Linked DNA regions of Lonchura striata. The protein of the gene in region 1 interacts with the protein of each later gene in a pairwise test. Links are inferred from orthologs where the notes say so. Each region holds a gene or a part of one and is shown on either strand. Other genes may lie near its edges.

Region 1 (10,825 bases):
GCAAGGATCACAAAGTTCAGGGTGTGCATCTTGGGAGAGTACTACTGCTAACAACATAATGCAAATCCTTAGGGAAGGGGGAGTTTGAAGACCAAGGAATTCAAGGTACTAACTCTGCATGGTGAGCAGTGCACAAGAAGTCTGGACTGGTGCTTGACTAGTTTGCAAGTAAAATTTTACATCCTTGTTTCACCAGCTATGATCCTTATTTAAGCAGTGCCAAGTCCCTCCTGGGAGGGCAGAATTATGAGTGCCTGCAAACTGTGGAAGGATCAGAACAGCCTTTTCTCTAGTGGCCTGGCTCTTTTGTTGACTCAGTTTTTAGAAATTTCTGGTTTTATAATTTTTTATCCTGAGAAATGTGGGTTAAGTTGTATGTGTCAAAAGTTCAGTATAAATGTGATCTTTGTGGTGCTTTTGTTTGGAATAGCTCTAGTTTAGAAAACTTTATTGCAGAATTTATGCAGTGGTAAAGCTGTTCCTACAAAACAGTTTACAGTAGCTGTCATCATCAGATGTTTTCTAGGCACTACATTTTCTTCTGTGCTTGCCTATCAGGATGAAGAAATTAAGAAGGATAATTAACATGAAGCTTTTTGCCCCACAGATGTTACAAAGTACATTTCTGAGTCAGAACCTCCTGGATACAGTGCCTGCCATCTTGTGGACAAGTCATACTGTGTCTGAATCTGAGACAAATATTTAAAGACCACAATATTTTGTGTATGTGATATTTGTAACTCAATGCAAACAATCTTTCTTCTTGGGACTTATTTTTCAATTTAAGTTACTTGAGTTTGCTTGGTTCCTTTAATTTTGAGGATGCTTGATTTCCTCTGCTCCACTTATTAAAACTATAAAACATAAAATTTTCTGCAGTTTTCTATTTAAGTAAGTATAAATAAATAACTTAAAATGTTCATCTGGGAACCAGTCAGAAGTCATTCTGAGAAATCTGTCAAAGCTGCATAAGTGCTACAAGCCAACAATAAGGAGACAATAATTTTAGAAATTTCCTTGCTTCAAATTTGAAAGCAAAAAGATTCCTCTTATTACAGACATAAACAACTTGTACTGATATTTGAAATTAAGATATCTATATTCTTTATTGACCTATATTAGCTTGATTCCTTCTTGGTAGAATGCAAGTGACAGCTCTTATGTCATTCTTTAGTGAGTGAAAAATCCTTTCCAAATGCCGTAAGGATTAATCTTATGGGGAAGGTTCTAATCCCCCCAGTATTTGTCAAAATATTATGTCTGCTGAATGAGATCAGCAGGCATAATAGTCTAAAGGACTTTTGTAGAAGTCCTTTAGAGACAGCCCACTACCTGTTTTTCTAAAATTTATGGTAAATGTGCTCAAAAACAAGTATGTTAAAGTTAAAAAAATTGTTACAAAGGTGATGTTTTTGCTGTTACATTGAAAGTACAATTCTAACATGAAACAGCTTCAGCTGTTGGTCTGACTTAAAATCTAATTTGGACTCAATTTTTTGTTTAAAACAAAAAAGACTGTAATTCAAATTTGATTTAATTAATAAAAGTTAGTGGATGGATTGTCACTATTGTTACTCCCATTTGATTAAAGAAACAATAAATTTCATTGTGTAGGTAGCTGTGTCTGCCCTACAGGTGGTCAGAGCCATTCCTGGCTTTAGGGCAGGTGTCTTGAATTGCTCCTGCAGAGATCCTGGAAAAGGGCCCATTACCAAGCCCTCCCAGCACGCGGGTGGAACACAATTAGTGCACAGAGGTGGCAGCTCCTTCTAATAGATTTGTGAGGCAACTCTGGAGTGCTGAAAGCTATCAAGGAAGTGGTAAAGTAGCTGGGTCAGATATACAAATGAGGGTAACATAAGCTGCTCAGAGAACTGATGACTTACTCAACAATCATCTGGGACAAAACCCAAGTGTTGCAACTGTTTGAAGATTCTAAAATAGCTGGCTCTATTGACAATTAATGAGGCCATGCACAATGTGATAATCATAAGGAACTGTGTTTGCTGACCAGTGCTGGACACTTATTTATAAGCTGGACTAAACCAAGCCATAAATTTGCAGAGAAGCAGTTTATTTTTAAACCACAGATTCTGTTGTGATTGTGTCACAGACCACATGATTTTGCTGCAGGGCAAATTCAAGAAGAGCTGTGCATGCAATCAAGACTTGCAGAATCTCTGCACCCAGCAGATCAGCCAGCTCTCACCAGCCTACCTGAGGCTTTCTAGTTCACTCATCTTTTTTACCAATCTTTGTAAGCATGTTCAATTGTTTACTGATTGCTTTGTTTATCATAAAGGATCGGTCTGAAAAGACAAAAGGTTTCATTTCAAACAAGGAGTGTCCTAAATATTTGGCATCCAGTGTAACAAGCCACTCGAGGCTGCACAAGATCTGGGGAAGTGTTTTCTTACTGTGTAGCAATGGCGGATGAGATTGCATTTCACCATGATTAGTCATCTGTTTGGTAAATGGCTGTTAATGCTCACATTGCTGTTGTGTTTTAGCTCTGTAGCTATGACATTTGTGCCCAGATGATATGCTTCCTGGCTTGCTGCTTCCTACAGACAGCCAGTACCAAGTGACAAGATATGGCATATAATGTCTGAGTTCCTGAAACAGGAACTGACCCCTTTGGACCTGAGACTTGAGAGATTCACTGAAGTGGCTTCAATGAAGGCAGTCCTACCAGAGGTGGGGAGCTGAAATGCTAAACATGATGTCAAAGATATCCTTAAATCAAGTAACCTAAGAAAAAAAACCTAGAAATTATAGACTATTATATAATTCAATATTGGTAACTCATAAAGTGAGAGAAGCATTAGAAAATAAATGCTTATTGGAATATAGCTTAATATAATGTGTGAGTGATGCTAGAAACAGACTTTAAGAGAAGGAGGTATTTGAGGCCTGAAGGAAAGTCTTATTGGACAACTATGAATTTTTAGTAATATGATCTCAATCTTTATACATATTTCTGTATTTATTGCCTATATCCCAATGAAATCACAATAATCCTGGTGTCCAGATGACAGCTGTGTGAATATTAGAATTAAGCACAGAGAATACTGTGTCATTCCTTACTCACTTTAGATCCACAGAGTTGGATCAAAGCACTTCATGAAAACATTTCTGGCTGCTGCCTCAATCAAAGTAGCAGGAAGCTTCACTGTAAGATTTAGATCAGTGATTTCAGTGTCAGATATACGAGCTGGCAAGGCTGATTTTTGCCAATATTATACCAGAGCTTGGCCAAACAGCAGGTCAGGCATTATTCTGGAGGAAGGGCATGAAGAAAGGATTTTTGTACCATTTCATTCAGCAATGACATCAGAGCAGTGGAAATCATGTTTCAGTTCTGACTACAGGAAAAATAATCAGGCAGCTTTATTTTTAAAATCATATCCTTCCTGTACCCTGTCAAGGGAGTAGGAAGATGAATTTGAAGGGTAAATGTTTGGAGAATCATAATTTTCCTCTCTGTTTTGTCATGGCATTAATAGATAATCAATCTATCAAATAATGGATGACTTTATCAAGACAGACCTGCTGTTTTTAAAGGTAAAACTTTTCTATCATAACCGTTTCTTTCTAGTTGTTCATACTAGGAGAACCATTACTGGCAGTGAGTGGTTGTTCTTCTCATAATCCTTTACATGAAGTGCCAAGTGTTCTGAGAAAAAGAAATCTATCATTACCTCTTTTGACACCACACTTCTGTCTCACTCTCTAGGGAAGATAATATGATTTGCATGCTTAAATATTTTGCTGTACTGTGTTTTGCAGTCTGGCAGCTGTTATCAGTTATGATGATCAAATAACACTACAGGAGTTGGTAATTAAGAAGGAAGCAGTACTAGAAGGACAACAAAGTACTAATATTTAGGTTTGGATTAATTTCACAATTCTGTTAATCAATTGCTTTTCTGGGGAATCATTTCCAATTTTAGACTAGATATATACTACTTCTGTTTAACATGATAAATTACACTGAAGTGTGGGATCCTGTTGTCATCTTTGAGGCTTCTCATGGGAATTTCAACACTTGTATCATTGTACTAACTATTGAAATTGTGTTGGAGTTTTTGTTCTGTTTGCTTAGCATTTCAGCAGTTAAGAAAAAACAATTATGCTATCAGATTATTTGGTTTAATGTATCTACCTTGCTTCTCTTTAAATCTGTCTTTGTACATTGATCATTGCTCTGAAACTGCATTCTGGTACAACTCTGTAAGTATATAGTCATAGAAATATATAGTCATAGTCATTCCCTTATCTAGCTTCAACAAATCAGTATATGCAACATTATATACATTTATAAAAAGATATTTATTTGTATGTGTGCAAGTCCTGTGATTTTTAGGCAGGAGAAATTTAAGGTGAGATGAAGGTTTACTTATTTTACACGTTATTGAGAACATACTACAGCATGTAAGATATGGCTAAAAGGCTTTTAAATGTACATCAACTTTTAAACATCATTTAGCTTCTTTTACAGAAACCTACTGCTGTAAAAGCAAAAGCTAGTAAATCCAGCACGCAATTATTTTTGGGGCTAAACTGACATCTGCTGGTGTTCTGCAATAGCATGTGTCCAATCAGTGCGATGACAAAACATCCACTATATTCTTTATACATTTCCATGGTGCTGTTAGCAGCCCTGGTGATGGCTCAACGCAGCAAAGAGAAGCTGAACAGCGACTAGAGCAGGTGAGGCTGCTGATCACACCGTGCCATGGGAACTGAGGATGGAGCAGAACTCTTGTGGATCCATCCTGCTGCATTTGTGTGTCAGGCTTCTGAAACTGCCATGGGGCCCTTTTTTCTTACGATTTTTTTAAAACTAGTTATGTTTATAATCTTCAGGTACACAGCTCATGGGGAAGCAGGGGGAGGGGAGATAAAAAGCTGTATCAGTTTCTAGCCACATTTCCTCATCTACACCTTGAGCTGGCACTGGCCATGTCCCCCCCCAGTCACCCAGTCTGCTGCAGGGAGGGAACTTCTGTGGGTGCCAACACAGCTTTGGGGAAGCTGCATGGGCTTCCTGGGCCTAACCCAGGTAGTTGGTTGGGCTGCAGCTCTATTCCATTAGACTATGAAATTTGGCACAGATTCACAAATAGTGCTACTTATTGAAGCAACAGGAATACAAATTTGGAATTGCTGTTGAAAAATGCTGTTACTGCATTAGCACCAGCCAATAGTTAATTAAGTTTGCTTCAAGCTAAATGAAAAATTCAGTTTTTCATTACACTTAACTTCACAGTTAATTAAGCTTAGTTTCACCCAAGTATGGTCTGACACAGAGACATGAAATTTACTAAAGAGGGATCTCTCCTTTGGGGAGGAGAGAGGAGCAAAACCATCCACTTGTTTATGAAATGGGGAGCTATGGGGAATATTCTCATCCTCTACGTGGTGGATTCCAAATATCAATTTTGTATTTTCAGATAAATGGAGGCGAGACTGTTATCAAATACAATTGGTTACCTGTTGCTTTCATCTTAGATAATGGGGACGAAGGCACTTTCTCAGTTGCATGCTGGTGTCTGTTTCCTAGGTAAATGAGGGATAATGAGGGTTTCAGTTACTGTTGGTCAGGCTGAGTTAGGATTAATGGTTGAATCAAAGGAAGAACAGAAGCACGATACTTTAGTATTGCTTCCTCCTCCACTCAGATGAGGCAGCAGTAAAGGCCATCTGACCTTTGCTTAACCATCTTTACTCCCATCAACATCATCATCACAGAATCACAGAACAGTGTGGGTTGGAAGGGATCTTTAAATATCATTTAGTCCAAGGCCCCTACAATGAGCAGAGACACCCTTCAGTAGACCAGGTTGCTCAGAGCTCTGCCCAACCCAGCCTTGAATGTTTCTAGGGGCATCCACCACATCTCTTGGCAAACTGTGACAATAGTTTACCACCCACATTATAAAAGCCTCCTAATATAATCTAAATCAACCCCCTCCTTCACTTTAAAATCATCATATCTTTTCCTGTTGCGATAGGCCCTGCTAAAGTTTGCCGATCGCCGTGACTGCGAAATGCGCCAGGAGTGCCTGTACTTCCACAGGCTCCCTTCCCTTCCCTTCCCTTCCCTTCCCTTCCCTTCCCTTCCCTTCCCTTCCCTTCCCTTCCCTTCCCTTCCCTTCTCTTCCCTTCCCTTCCCTTCACGCTGCCGGGAGCCGATGGCTCAGGGGAGGGAGTCGGGGCAAGGCCCGGCCGGGGCAACGCCCGCGGCGCCTGCTCGCGGCTCTAAGGGGAAGGGGAGGAGGAAAGGCGGGTGGGGACGGGACGGGACGGGACAATCCGTGCTGACGGTGGCTGCACCCGGGCGAGCGGAGGCGAGGAGGGCTGGCGAGCACGGCTCGGCACGGTAAGGGAGCCCGGAGCCTGGCGGTGCCGCGGGCAGGGCAGAACGCGGCGGGGGGGGCTTTGCTCCGCCGCCGGGGCCGCTCCTGCGCGCCGGCGCTGCCCTCCGCGCCGCTCCCAGTGCTCCGGCCCGGCGGCGGGGACGGGGAGAAGCCGCGGCTCTGGGCTGGTCCCGCCCCGCAGGAGCCCCCGGGGCACCGCGGGCAGGTTGGGGCTTCGCGGGCCAGCGGCGTCCCGAGCGGCACGGTCCCGGTCTCGGTCCCGGGACGGTCCGGGAGAGGCCCTGGGCGACTCCCGCCCTCGGCGATGCGGGCGGGGGCCGAGCGAGGCCGGAGTTTCGCTTTCCCGAGTGTGGCAGGCGGAAGGTGGCCCCTTTCTTTTGGGAATGCTCTCGGGATCCTCGCGGCAGCAGCTCCTCTCAGACCGGCCCTGCCCTGCCCCGAGGAGCGGGTTACTCACAGGATTAAGCCACTCACAGGATTATTCCAAAACTATTGATTACTTGATAGAAGTAGCACTCTAACCTCTGAAATCGCTTCTGCCGCCGGAACACACCGTGCGGATTCTATTTGTACTATGACAGTACAAAATTCAATGTGACCACAATGCCATTGGTTCTTCCTGAAATAATAATATGTCAGAGTCTTTTTTGTTGTGATTACTGGATTTTATTCTCTCACAAATGCCTGGGAAATGTAAACAACTTTGAGATAGTATTTCTCAGCAAGTTGGTAAACTAGGAAGTTGTCCAGAGTTCAGACGAAGTGGTGGTCCAAGAAGGTGCTGTGTTAGGGCTTTGCACTGCAAAAATCCGAGTGCTCTGATAAACCTGTATATCCTGCTGGGTTGTTAATAGCCTTCAACCTGTATTTCATTCTCAGTGTTGCTGACCAGTATCTGTCTTAGACTCTGATGTGCAGGGAACCCTCTAAACCACCCGTGGTGTTGGAAGGTTGTTTGGGATTTCTAGTGAAGAGGACTGTGTAGGAATTGTTTAATTTAATTTAATTTAATTAAGTTGTGTCAGATTTTGCAAGAGATTAAGGGAAGGGCAGCAACACATTTGTTTGGCCACACTGCGTTAGGATAGTTGTAATTGTAAGCAGTTCTTATTGGATGGGTTTTTGGTTGGTTGTATTTTTACATACCAAGCAGAGAGGTGGGCTATTACCTTCTTTTTCCCTTGTCCCCAGCCTAATTTTCAAGATGTGGAGTGTGAAACACACTTGTGCATTTGCACTGGCTGTATGAAGTGGTGGCTCAAATAGCTCTTCAGTGTTGGCATTTAAAGCAGAAGGGACATGAGAAAAATGAAATTAAAAGCTGAAGTTGTGGTTACATCTGCAGTACGCGGTACTTTGAAGAGGCCTTTTTTGTAGTCCTGATGTCATCTGGATGTTTATTAGGAATTTTTGTTTTGATAGATAACTTGAAGGAGTTAATACATTTTTTTTACCATTCACTGTAGTATTTTGTACATGTTATTTGTGCTACAGATTTGAAATTTAAAAAAAAAAGAGATGCTACAAAGTGCTGCAAGAACCTAAGACTTGTTCACGTTTGTCTACAAAAAAAAAAAAAAAGTGAAAGTGCAGAAAAAGCACAGTGATTACTTTGAAATGGTTGTTCAAAACCATTTGGTGGTAAGAAATAAACATGCAATATAAAGCAAATATCAAAACTTGAAGTGTTCATGCTGGAAGTTATATCATTTTGAAATCTCTGAAAGAGTGTCTTTCAGTTTCTTAGAACTTGCTTGTCAGTGAAGCAGATCTGAGCAGCTGAAGTAGTTTTGTATTTAACCCCACCTGGCAACTGAGTACCACACAGCTGCTCACGCAATGCACCCCTGAAGAAACTGGATGGGTGTAAGAAAACTCATGGGTTGAGATAAGAACTGTCTCATAATTGAAATAAAATAATTAAGAAAAATAATAATTTAATAGTTGTAATGAAAAGGAGAGTAGCAGAGGGAAATACAATCCAGCAAGTGAAGCAAATTAGAACAGTTGCTCGCCAGCAACAAACCAATGAATGCCCAGCCAGTCCCTGAGTAGCACATCCCTCCAAAAACCTTCCTGGTTTTATTGCTGAGCATGATGCTTTATGGTCTGGAATATCCCTATGGTCAGCTGGGGTCAGCTGTTCTGGCAGTGTCCCCTCCTGGCTTCTTGTACACCCCCAGCCAACACCAGCGTACCAAGTGAGGACAGTAGATCGTGATTCAGCTCTGTAGTTTAGTCACAAGGAGTAAACTTCTCTTTTCTAAAGAAAACAGATCAGTGTTTTTTAAAGGTATAGCTGTGAAATACTTGTTGCTACAAAATCTTACTGAGTTTCAACATCTTTGACTGCTGTCTTGTTCCGTTTTCATTCTGCCAAAGTTGCAGTGTGAGTATGAGAAAGGTGGGAAAGAGCAATGTTCCAGGCTGACAGCACCTGTAGCCACTTATGTTCTTCTGTACCAGCTCCTGTGTTTGTCCTGGCCACAGGACTACTATCAAACACACTCTTGATTGAGTACACAATTCCCTTTGTAATACACCTTTCCACATTTCTGCTAAATCTGCTGAGAAGACTGTGGGACTCCTGAAGTATATAAACATAGGTGTTTCCTGGTGTATCCCCATGCCTACAGTGCAGCTGAGTAGTCCTGTGTAACTTGGAAGAGTGAACAAACCTGTGACAAGTTCTTTGTGGAAGTGTTTATAGACTTGACTGAAATCCTGATGAAAGCTGTATTGTGTGAGGAAGGTAATCAGCATTATTCCAGGGACTTTTCCATGCTCTGGGAGAGTGGAAAGGCTTGTGTCATTGTATACACTGCACTTCTGTGCTGGGTCTCACCCAAACTTATGTGGATGGAGTGAGCCCAGTCCTAAATAGACACATCTGAAATTCTTTCTCTTTGCATGTTGTCTTTTGTACCTGTAAATTGCATCAATGCAATTTCTCTTCTTTTATTCTTAGTACTGCTGTGGGTAATTGGAGCTCCTATATAACGTTTGTGGCACCATAGAATTAATATTCCAAATATAGGTTGCCTTTTCCAGATAGTACTGAGTGAAGATACTTGCATGTGTACAGAGGGATCGTGTGTGCAGCAACAGAATGGAGTGTGGGTCTTGGAGAGCTGTCTGATGGTCCTTAGGAGGAAGGGGGAAAGGGAGGTGCTTGGTCAGCACTGATGCCAGGAGATCTTGTTCCACTAAGAAAATGGTGGGCAGACTATAGGAAGTGGGTAGGTGGGGAGGAGGAGAGGAAGTCTGCATTGAAACCACAGTAGTTTCTTGGCGGTGATCAGCATTCCTGTTCTCTGCAACAAATTAACAATTGGTGGAGGAAAATTTACCATACAAACTCGTTAAAACATTGCTAAGCAAAAATGGCAAGGGTAGATATATTAGATATATTTGATAGTTGTAAAAGCTTGGAGTTTAGTTGGACATGCTTAATTGTTTGGGTTTCTTTTTCCTTCAATATATTTACTTATTTCAAATTACAACAGAGTTAAATCGTATTTTTTAAATATTTTCATTTAAATAAGTTTCACCACAAACCAGACTCATGTTGGTTAGCAACTACTATGTGGCCTATCATAGTGTTCTGTTTTTCAGGTGAACAAGAGGGATCAGAAATAGTGTTCTTGGAGAATTACAAGAATGTCAGATTGTTTCATATACTAATAAAGATGCCCCACCTCCCTACTTTAGTATTTTTAACTTATAAAGGAAGAATTGGTATTGGGCCAAAGTGTAAAAAATTCCCAGTGAAAAGGAATTGGGAAGTAGGCAACAACAACAGTGAAATCAAGATTAACATTTAATATGATCAGAAACAAATACCAGCCAGTTAATTTTATGCTGGTTAAAGTCCCTTTTAATATAGTTATCGCCTTGCTGTTGAATTGAGCCTAATTATTTGTCAATTGCCATCAATAAATAAAACCTTTTGTTATGATTTTCTCCCTTTTATGTTTTAGATATAATGTCTGCTCCAAGTGGCAATCCTGTCCCATCTGCACCACCTTCTTATGAGGAAGCCTTAGGAATCAACATGAACTATCCTCACCCCTATCCCGTCCCTGGCCCTGGACAGAAGCCAGATGAGAAGGGAATGAACCTTCCCCCGCACATGGGACAACCTCCACCAGCAAATAACCCCAGTAAGCCTCAAAACTCCTTTTGCACCTCATGTTAAGGTGCTGTCAAAGTGACTGTTAGAAGATGAAAAATCATGGTTCACAGGTGTTCAATGCCTGGCAAAAATACTTTTGAAGAGAGTAAGATGAATCAATTATTGTGAATCCCTCAGTGCGATGTGATATCAATAATGTAATTTGGCTTTCTGCAGGTTTTAGTGCAGCTTTATTTTTAAGACAGTGTATTTCTGCATTGGGAAATGCCATGGTTATTTCTCTCTGTGTATTTCATTGTTCTGAGCC
Region 2 (10,787 bases), on another chromosome or scaffold:
GTGGCCCTCACAGATACGTGGTGGCACTTCCCAGGACAGCCAAATGATGCCTCTGCTGCAATTCCTTTGTGTCCCCAACAATGTACTGAGCAGCAACTGACCTGGAGCTGAGCAGGGCTTGTCCAGCAGCTGCAGCACAGCATGACAGGTTTAGCCACAGTTCAGAGAAAGAAAAATAAAACCATTTGGTGTTGGGTTTGAGACGGGCAGGACCTGAAGCTGCCAAGCACCAGAATGACAGTTGCATTGTCCTTGCACACTCTGCCACCTGTTGTCATCAGCTGGAGGTACAGGGGACATCTGCAAGTCAGGCCATGGAGTTGCAGGAATCATGAAAACAACATTTGACAAGGGTACTGGTGGATGTTGGATCATGGAAAACATAGAAATCATGGAGTCATTCAGGTTGGAAAAGACCTCTAACATCATTGAGTACAGCACTCCCACCACTAACTGTAGCCCTAAGCATCACATCTCTATTTCTGTTAAATCCCTCCAGGGATGGTGACTCCACCACTGCCCTGGGCAGCCCATTCTGATTCTTGACCAGTCTTTCAGTGAGGAAATGTTCCTTAATATCCAACCTGAACCTCCTTTGGTTCAACTTGAGGCTGTTTCCCCTTGTCCTATCACTTGTTCCCTAGGAGAAGAGCCTGACCCACACCTGGATCCACCCTCCTGCCAGGGAGTTGTAGAGAGCCAGAACGTTTCCTGTATCATAAAGGGAAGACAGGGATGTACTGGCTCTCCAGATCCATGCCCATGCCATGCCACAGTACCTGCCTTGTGCTCTCCCAAGACTGCACTGCAATGAGCACAGGGCTCCCACGCTCAACTCTGTTACATCCCAAGTCTTACACTGAAATCCTTTCCTCAGTAATCCAACTCTGGCAGCCAAAGCTTCCAACACAGAAATAAAGGAAGAATTAAGAAGAATTTATTCACAGAAAGGGTTATCAGACATTGGAATGGGCTGCCCAGGGAGGTGGTGGAGTCACCATCCCAGGAGATGACTGGATGTGACACTTAGTGTCTAATTGACGTGGTGGTGATCAGTCATAGGTTGGACTTTATGATCTTGGAGGTCTTTTCCAACCCATTGATTATGTGAAATCAGGCTTGCCATGTCCTGCCTTGGAAGAGACCTGGGCTCGGTGGGGTGCTCTAGCTGGACCTGCTGGCCATGCCATGGGGACACTCTCCAGCAAGTGGCAAAAACATTCCCTACCTCCAGGTCCTGCTTGTGAGCTGGTTTCTCACCTAGGCATCTGCCCCTGCAGCTCAGTGTCCCTGTGGAGCTCAGCTCTTCTGCAGATTCATCTGGAAACCTCTTCAGCTTTGCTTTTGAATTCTTGGGCAAGCAGAGGCAGTTGCTGAGGCTTCCGTGCAGAAAACACAGCAGATGACGTTTTGGGGTTACAGCCCTCCTTGTAACACCTGAGAAAGTAGGAGACCCAGACAGGACAGAGGTGAGGGCCCCACTGGACCTCAAGCACCTTAGCCAAGCAGTCCTGTCCAAGACCCTCTCCCAGTCCCACCTTGTTCTGTCTCCAGTGCTCTCCAATGCCCTCCCAGATCCTGCACCAAGACTGTCCCTGCCCCACATAGCAGCCCAGGGTCTCTTTGGGAGCACAAGCAAAGACTCAGTAGCAACATCTGTTTGCCCAAAGCATTCAAAACACAGTATCAAAAGATGAATATCCTCCCCATGCTTCCATGCCTGCTCCTCCTGGCACAATCTTTGCTCCTCAAGGACCCTCCTGCTGGGTCTGGACTACTACTCTGCCCTCTCCAGATGGATACTTCGGCTCAGAAGTTGTTTTTGTCCCAGAGTCTGAGCAAATTACCCCATCACCAGGGCAGGGCTGCATCTGGGCCTGCCTTGGAATGTGTAAAGGGACTGAAGGGGATCCATTTGGGATCCATTTTTCCCACCTCCAAGGTGGAAAGAGAAGGGATCTTAGCACAGAGCCCTGTGCCAGCCCACTCCAGCACAGCCAGCAGGATAACAGAGGAAGGACTGTGGAGCTCTGTGATTCTGTTTTCCTGTTGAAACAAGGGGGATCTGTCCTCTCCCTGAGCCCAGGCCAGGCCACAAGAGGGTGATGACTGTTGCAGCAGCACCCTGGGACTCTCCAGCTCTGGCTGGGGAGGGAATTATAAAAACAGACTCTAGCTCCCAGCCCCCATGAAAAGTGCATCCCTGAGCCCCAGACAGGGCCCATAGCCCCTGCAGTCCCTTCTGGTCCCACTCCTGTTACTTGGCCTTCCCATTTGGGTTAAGGGTGTCCTGACAGAATGGGAGCAGACCTCCTTTAGGATCCTGTGGACAGGAACCTCTGGGCATGGAGAATAAAGAGGGAACTGCCCTACGGAGCCCTGCAACAGGGGAAGGATGAGCTCCAGTCCCACCTGCCTGGCCTGAGCAGTACTTGATTGGTGCCACATACTGCTGAGCAGGAAAAAAGAGAGGGCACACATGGTCCTCTCCATGTCCAGACAATGTCTGTCCCCACACAGGCCAGACACCCCCACGAGGGGCTCTGCTATCACCCTTCAGTCCAGCCTCTTGGACAGGAGTGAGGAGAGAGCACTCTGAGAACAGGTGAACCCCAGCCATGGCTTCCAAAAAGGACCTGCTGGGGAGGAAGAGCAATGCCCAACCTGCTCTACCTCCACCCTGCTCAGTTTCAGCCCTTCCCCATCATCTCCCCATGGAACCTGAGGCAGAGGAACAGATGCTGCACAGGAACAGCTCTGTGCCTTCCCCTCTCAACTACCTGAAAACAAGGCACTCTCTCCCACTGGGAAGGAGCCTCTCAAATCCCTGCAAATCCCCACAGCACATTCCAGCAGAAAGGCTGCGTGGAATAGGCCAGCCCAGGGTGGTCTGACCAGCAGCTCATGGGCTGGATCCCAGTTCTATCCTGTTACAGCCCCTTCCTGGGAGAGGCAGAAGCAGCCAGTAGAAACAGCCTGCTCTGTCCCGCATCCAAGCACCTTGCTCTGTTCCTGCCCAGGTCCCAGCATGAGCACTGGGCCCTGGCTAGGGACAAAGAGGATGTGGCTCTGCTCTTCAGTAGGAGGAAGCAGCTATACCAAGCCTCAGCCTAGTGGTCTCTTGCCATGGGCTCCAGGAGCAGGATGTTCCCAGTGAGGTGGAGGGTGGGAGAGGTCCAGATCACAAGGCACCACTATCCTTTGTCCAGTCCCTTCCTTTGCTCTTCCTTTCCTCCATCTCTATTCAGCAATGATGTAATTTCTTCAATTATTAATCATCTCGCTGCAACAGTGGATGAATCAAACCCATTAAACTTCCCCTGGGAGCAGCCCCAAGGAAGGAGGCAGGTTTCCAGAAAGTACATTAAGGACAATGCAGACAGGCACTTGAGACAAGTGGGAGGAATGGTCTCGCTGCTCCACGCAGGCCATTTCCCATCAGCTGGGATTTGCTGTCCAATGCACAGGGACTGGTAAGGCCTGTGATGCAAACAGGCTGTCACACACCCTGCTGGGCAGCTCCAGGAGGGTCCTGGTGTGGCAATTATTTCAGCTGAAAAAGTCAGAAAAGAGAGATATGCTGGGAGGATTGCTTACACAAGAGCTCCTGACAGCCTACATGCTAAACAGCTGTTTCCAGATTGCCCCATCACCCCAGCAGTGTTTTGCACAGTTTCTCCCCACCTGGAGCAAAGTCACTGATTTGTTATGATCTGCTTTTAAGGATTCAGGAACCCAGCTGGCACAGTCCCAGCATGGCCCATTTGCCATATCTGGGAATTCAGTTTTCAGTCTCTTCACAAAACAAAACAAAACAAAACAAAAAAAAAAAAAAAAAAAAAAAAAAAAAAAGGAATTCCTCCCAGTATTGTAGAAATGTTCCAAGTGAGAAATTCACCTCTGGAATAGGATGATAGTCCTGGTCAAAATTACAGGAGCCAGTAATTCGCCAGGTTGAGAGAATCCCAGAATGGTTTGAGTTGGAAGAAACTTTAAAGTTCATCCTGTCACTTAAACAGCAGGAAAAACAAAACCTTTTGAACAATTTTTAATGTTAGAGAACTCAAGCGTTATTTTATTCTGGCCAGGATGATGTTCTGGCCAGGATGTGCAACAGAAGTAATTTCATCCACACATTGGGTTGTGCAAAGAAAATAATTCCATCACATGTCTCTTTTCTAGATTTTTACATACTTATACAGTTAAAACTCAGAGAGATTCATTGGTTCAATGTTTATTGGTCTGAAGTTACACAGTTCTTAGAATTTGGTTTCCTATTGGTTATTGATCTCTTCACCTTCGATACTCATCGGGCCCTCATTCTTCTTTTATGATCTTTTCCTGGACTAAGTGTCTCCGACACAACAGGAAGGATGTTCAGATGTTGATGTTCATTAATGGTCGCTTATCTCTTGTGCATCCTTTGGCACTCCCAGTCCCTTGAGATGTTAAACTCATCAGGCCTTGCCTAGGGAACAGTCTCTTGAAAAGAAACTTCCATTCCCTTCCTGGGCAAAGATGAACGAAACCACTGACTAAAGTTAGTTTAAAAATTTAGAAGTTGTATAATTTCCAACAATCCTGTTCCACCTCCTGCACACCTTTGACTAGACCAAGCTGCTCCAAGCCCTATGCAGTGTGGCCTGGGTAACTTCCAGCAATGGGGCAGCCACAGCTTCTCTGGGCAACCTGTGCCAGGGCTTCAACCACCCTTACAGTCAATAATTCCTTCCTGATATCCAATCTAATGCTACAAAAATCTCTGATTAGAGTGACAGGACCAGATCAAGTTATAATAAAACACAGTCCAGGGGAAACAAAATCCTTCTCTCACCTTTCCTCTCTTCTTTTTCAGACCCCATTGTGAAAAATGCATATTTGTGATTGGCTTTTCGCAAATGTTACAATGAATATTATATGTGTAATGTTAGAAAGTTATGCTGTATTAATTCTCTTACGTATTGTGTTAAGTGTAGTTTTAGGTTACAACATAATGTTAAAATAGAGACTATGTATGTGGGGGGACTTTTCTTTTTAGGAATGAGATACTGGCTTCGAGGAACACCTAAATCTTCCAAAGGAGAGGAATTTATGGCTTCTTATGAGAAGAAGCTAATTTCTTCAGGCCTTTCTCAGACTCGAAGACGCCAGGGGATTAAAGGAAACAGTTGACATACAACAGAGTTTCTTGTTTAAAATAGAACGTATGCATAACCATAAAGGATGTATGAATATGCAACAAGTGTATTAGTTTAAGGGTGATTCCTTTGTTCACAAGTCATGCTTTTCGTGACTTAGTGTATGAGAGCATCCGGACATCCATAATTCTTTGCTTTTTATTGTCTTGTAATTGTCCTAACTCTAAACTTTATTACCCTAATTGTATTATTATTTTTATAACAATTTTATTATTATTAAACGTATAAAATTTTAAAAACCAAATGATTGGCGTTTTTCAGACCCCTGTAACCACATTTTGCCCCTCTGCCAATGCTACACACTTCCTGTTGGGCTCTGCCAGCTGTGCCTGCAGCAATGCCCTGCAGAGCTCCCACCCCCAGCCTGGATCCCACACGGGAAAAGCCTCACACGACCCTTCCGCAGGCTGCGGGGCTCTGCTGGCGCTGACAGCCGGCGGAGCCGCCTCCCCACCCCCGGCCCAGGCCGTGGGGAGCCACGAACACCCGTGAGGGGCGGCCCGGCCCAAGGCGGACAGCGGGGACGGGGCGGCGGTGCCGGGTCACCCCGTGGCCACGCGCCGGGCTCGGCCGAGGGGCCGCAGCCTCACGGAGCCATACGGGGCTCGGCGGCCGGCGGCCCCGGAGGGCTCAGCCGCGGCTCGGAGCCGGTGCACGGCGGCCCCGGAGGGCTCAGCCGCGGCTCGGAGCCGGTGCACGGCGGCCGCCCCCGGGCCCGGCGGAGCCCACGGCGGCCCCTGGGCTCGGCCCGGCGCGTCCCGATCAGTCCGCCGACGCCAGGGGGCGCCGCGCCCCATACAGGGGAGGGGCGGGGCGGGACACCGGTGTCTGAGCGGCAGGGCCGCGGACCAATCACAGTAGGGAACTGCGCAAAGGCGTGGCCGCGGCGCTCGGGTGGGCGGTGCTAAGGGCGCGGCCCCTGAAGGCGGAGCAAAGAGCAGGGGGACTGGGGAGGCGGGAGCTTGCGTTGATTGACGTCCATATGAACCAATGAGAGTGAGAATCCGGGCCGGTGGGGGGGGGCTCGGCTGGGAGGGTGGTGCCCGCGGGCCGTGAGGGGCAGGCGGGCGGGCCAATGGCGCAGGGCCCGCGGTGGCGGCGCGGCGCGGGCCGGGCGGCGGGCCGGGTCGGGCGGCCATGGAGCGGGTGAGCAGCACCATGAAGCAGGTGGCCAACCCGCTGCCCAAGGTGCTAAGCCGGCGGGCAGGCGGCGGCAGCCTGGAGGCCGAGCGGGAGAGCTTCGAGCGCGCCCAGGTGCGGGCAGGGCGGGGCGGGGCGGGGATGCGAGCGGTGAGGAGGGGAAGGCGGTGGCTGACGGGCGGGGCGAGCCGGGGCGCGGCGCGGTGCGGTGGGCACGGCTCGCCCGTACCTGTGCCAGGCGGGCGGGGTTACCCGAGGTGGGCGAGGTTGTTTGGGTGGGCGCGGCCAGCCGGGTGAGCCAGAGCCAGATGGAGCTGCCTGGCGGGTTGGTGCTGGCGCAAGGGCGCAGCTGGGTTGGCGGCAGGTCGGGGGGATTGGCGGAGGAGGGCCGCGGGTCGCCCTGGGGCGACGGGGTTGGGGACCCGCCGGACTTCGTGGCTAGGGCTGGAGCCGGCCCTGGAGGAACAGCCGGGATGCCCCAGCCCAGCAGTGTTTGTTCAGCCTGGCCTTCCCAGCAGCGGGGCTAGGGAACATTGACCCGCTGGCCTGAGCTGCCAAGTCTCCAAGCCCGGCCACAGCCAGGCATCATGCCCAGGACGGTGCCACCCTGTCCTTGGAACCTCCCTGAGCACACATAGCCTGTGTTCCCTGGCTGGAGGGAACACAGAAGTGGCTCTTTGGCCAGTGGAGTCAGTTCTGCTCCTGTGTCACACCGAGACCCCAGGTGTGGACAGGGTCTGTCCCTGCAGTTGGCTCCTGGGAAGAGGCACTGTCAGCAGCATCCAGAGTATGGGGGTGGATGGGGCCCTTTGCTCAGGTTTTAGGTGATGGATTGATGTCCTGCACAGAGGAAAGGTGGCAGCCAAACTGGAAGGGCAGTAGGGGTGCTTTGGTGGAAAAAGCTGGTGATTTGGGGAAAGGCTGTGCTTGGAGCAGCTGGGGATATGCCTGGATAAAGCATCAAAGCATGGGGGGAGTGAAGAGAGAGGGATGGCGGCAGAGGGAGCTGGGGACAGCTTGGCTCTGCTCCATGTCCAGGGATGGAAAGTACCAGTGAAGCAGAACTGTCCAGACCTACCGTGGGAGAGGAAGGGAAACTGAGGCAGGAGCAAGGGTAGAAATGGGACCAGTGGAAGCAGACTTGAATGAGCCCAGAGTGGGAGCAACACATGGGATATGGCTTAGAGATGGAAATAAACACCAAGGATCATGTCTGAGGGGGTTTTGCAGGAAGAAAACCCACCAGGCCATGAAGTTGGATGCAGGATCATGTGCAAGGCTCTGCTCACCTTCCCGCTCAGGTTACCTCAGACATCAATTATTTACTCATACTGCTAAAGGTAGGAATGGAACTGGTTTGCTCCTGGAACCTTCTGGCTCCGTGTTGTGTCAGCAACAGCCGGATGGGCCTGGAGCTCTCTCAGGCTCCCCCTGAGCTAGTGGTTTCCTGGGAAGGGCTGAGTGGAGAGGGTGGTGGAGCGGCACCACTCCCCACATTGCTACGAGCTGGATTTCATCTTCCTCATCTTATTTCCAGACTAATGACACAGCATGGCCTTGTCTAGCTTTTTCTTCTTCTGTGCTTCAGCTCCGTGCAATTCCCTTTCTAACTAATTTTTTCTCCCTCTTTTTTTTTTTTTTTTTTTTTTTTTTTTCCCCATAATTCTCTCCACTTTAGAGAACTTGCCAGGCACCCGTTAGGTCTTGGTTGTACAATTTTTGTCCAACTTCTTCTTTCTGAGGTTTTTTTTTTAGAGAAACTTTGTGGCTTTGGGTTTTTTCTTTTTGAAAGTGACTTCTTTTAAGAAAACTTTCATCTGTTAAATGGCTTTAAAATGAAAAATTTCCCTGTGTTTTTAGCATGTACAGACTCCTTCCCTCCCCCCAATCCTGGCTGTCTCAAGGCAGCAGCACATACATCGCAACGCTTATTTTGGGGTAAAAGTGCTAAAACAGGCAGAAAGTGTATCCAAATGGGCCTTTGGGGAGCCTGAGGAACACCTGCTTGGGTTGGCAGCACCCAGTTTCTGTGGTCTGAGCTCAGTTTGGAAGAACAAGAGCACCCTACAAAGCTGTGGTGGTGGTAGGACATCCTAGTAGTGGGGAGGTCTGGAGGTGGGATGTTCCTGTGGTGATAGGATGTTTCTGTGGTGGTGGTAAACTGGTGCTAGAATTGTTCCATGGTGGTGGGATATTCTGGTGGTGGAAAGCTTCCATGGTGGTTATTGCATTTGCATTGCACAACAATTCTGTCCTGACAGCCTCCATCTGTTGGCTTGCAGACAAACAGCAGTAAATTTCCTGGTGGCCTCTCTTCTGCTCCTACAGTTGTGCAAGTATATTGATTTTCCTGGGAATGCAAATGTGGGAAACCTGAGGACATGCCCAGACATGGTGTTCCTTTCATGCTGTTCTTGCTGCCTGCTGGGCAAGAGCAGCTCAGGAAGAACAAGACACAGCCAAGGACTGCTCTATTCCTTTTCTGTCGATGCTGATAATTTTCATAGGAAGTTGAGCAACAGGGACACCAAATCCTGCAGTTCTGCTGCCATCAGGGAGTATGAGTGTTGCAATGACTGTTCCCCCTTTGCTGATGTTTCATGTGGTGATTCACCATTCACCACCTCAACCTTGGCACAAATCTTTGGGCACAGCAAGGATCACTAACGGAGGAGAAAAAAACATTGAAAGTGAAAATCCTGCCACATTTTAAGATAAATGTTTCACATGGTGTCTGAAGTTTGCATCCCCTCCAAGTTCTCCTGGTTGGATTAAGGGGTATGCGCTGGTGCTGGAGCTCTGCAGGGAAGGTCTTCTTTGTTTAGAGTAGTGCTTGGGATCTTCCCTCCTTGGGACCTTCCCTCCTTCTTCCTCTTTCCATGCTGTAATTGTCCACAGCAGACATCCTTGTGCCATGATGGAGCCAAGGACTGAAATTCCTTCTGTGCTTGGCTAGTTGGCAAAGACTGGGTGTTCAACAATTGGATGAGCCAAAGTGTTGAGGGTGAAGTCAGGGTTGGAAGGACACAGGACTTCAGCGGGGCAGGGATGATGCTCCAGGGGTGATCCCCCAGCCTCTCCTGCTCCTTCACTCATGTTTTGCAGTGCCATGGGATATTTATTTCCCTTCATTCCCAGCAGGGATATGGCCAGCAGGGCATCAGTGCAGGTGCAACTGCAGACTCCCAGAGGTGGTACATGACATTCCCAAGCAAAGCAGCAGCTGACTCCTGGAAGGCTGGAGGTGTGGAAAGATCCTTACGAAAGATCCTTACACAGCTCAGCTCTTCCTGCACCAACTTGTTCCTTCTTTTTTTAAACTCATCACTGCATTGGGCAAAAACGCTCAGATATCAAAATTGAGGGAAGTGACATTAAAGCTGTAGTAGGACATGCCCTGGTCTTTAGTCCTTGTCCCCATCTTGTGGATTTTGGGTGGAAGGGAGGTGGCATATTATGCTGGTGTGTTGTCATCTCCTGGGCTGCAAAGTCACCAAATAATTATCTTGTGTCTCCCATCCTGAGCACTGCTCTAGTGCCCAGCTGTGTTCCATCAGGAGCCATCATGTCCCACACCACTGCAGGCTGCCCTGTCCTGAGTCCGTGCTGTGTCCCAAGGATGAGAACATGAGGTGGAGACAGTGCCCAGGGCTGTGGAGGAGCTACAGAAATTCCATGTTTGTTTCCCAGAGCTCATGGCTGCTGGGGCTTCATGCCATCCAATGAGGCTGCATGCCCAGCATGGTCCCTGCCATAGGGACAATTCCAAGGGATGGAATCCTGACAAGGGTGGGGGTTGGGAGGAGATCCTTCTTTAAAATTCCTGCAGAAAATCTAAAAAACTTACATTTTAGGTTCTTTGGCTGCCGTTTTTTTCTGGTAAATTCAAGGAGCAGCAAAGGGGAACAGGGACCACTTGGACTGCCCACAGCTGCCACTACCTCTAGCACATTTACACGATGGTCCCTAGGACTGTGTGCAACAATAAAAGCAATTTATGGCTCAGAAATTACCCTGCAAAGACATATTTGCAGCAGAAGGTGATTGCTGGCTACATCTCCACTCCTGCCATCAGAGTCTCCAGGGTGGTGCTGGGGATGTCAGATCCTCCTGCTAAGGATTTCCCAGTGGGAAGGTGTGGCATTTCCATGCCAGGGAGATGCAGAACTCTGAATGTAGCTGATGCCACTTCTGCTCTGGAAGGTTTTAATGTCCTTAGTATCCATGAGCCATCCCTCAGGGGCTGCAAAGCTGTTTTGCTTCTTGCCTTGCTGCTGGAGGAGCCTTCTCTAAAACCAGGTGCAGAGAGATGGTGCAAAATAAAAAGTATCAGGCACAAATGAAATTGATTTTTTTTTCTCCCTCAGTGTCAGTTAATAAATTCTTTTGATATGTCAACCCAACTTTTTCACAGCCAAATACAGGTTAAAAGCAGATTGTGCCCATCCT

The links.
Region 2: the proteins of LITAF (region 1) and HIP1 interact in binary tests that used the Homo sapiens proteins (3 or more experiments, as listed by UniProt). The link is inferred for Lonchura striata from reciprocal best matches to the Homo sapiens genes LITAF and HIP1.

What each region holds. Positions count from the first base shown.
Region 1 is NC_134618.1:7,965,556-7,976,380, reverse strand, and holds the start of LITAF (lipopolysaccharide-induced tumor necrosis factor-alpha factor), read left to right. Parts: upstream 1-6,226; 5' UTR 6,227-6,385; intron 6,386-10,363; 5' UTR 10,364-10,368; coding exon 10,369-10,546; intron 10,547-10,825.
Region 2 is NC_134622.1:1,002,159-1,012,945, reverse strand, and holds the start of HIP1 (huntingtin-interacting protein 1), read left to right. Parts: upstream 1-6,284; 5' UTR 6,285-6,335; coding exon 6,336-6,452; intron 6,453-6,680; exon of another isoform or gene 6,681-7,597; coding exon of another isoform or gene 7,598-7,639; intron 7,640-10,787. UniProt on the Homo sapiens protein: Plays a role in clathrin-mediated endocytosis and trafficking. Involved in regulating AMPA receptor trafficking in the central nervous system in an NMDA-dependent manner. Regulates presynaptic nerve terminal activity.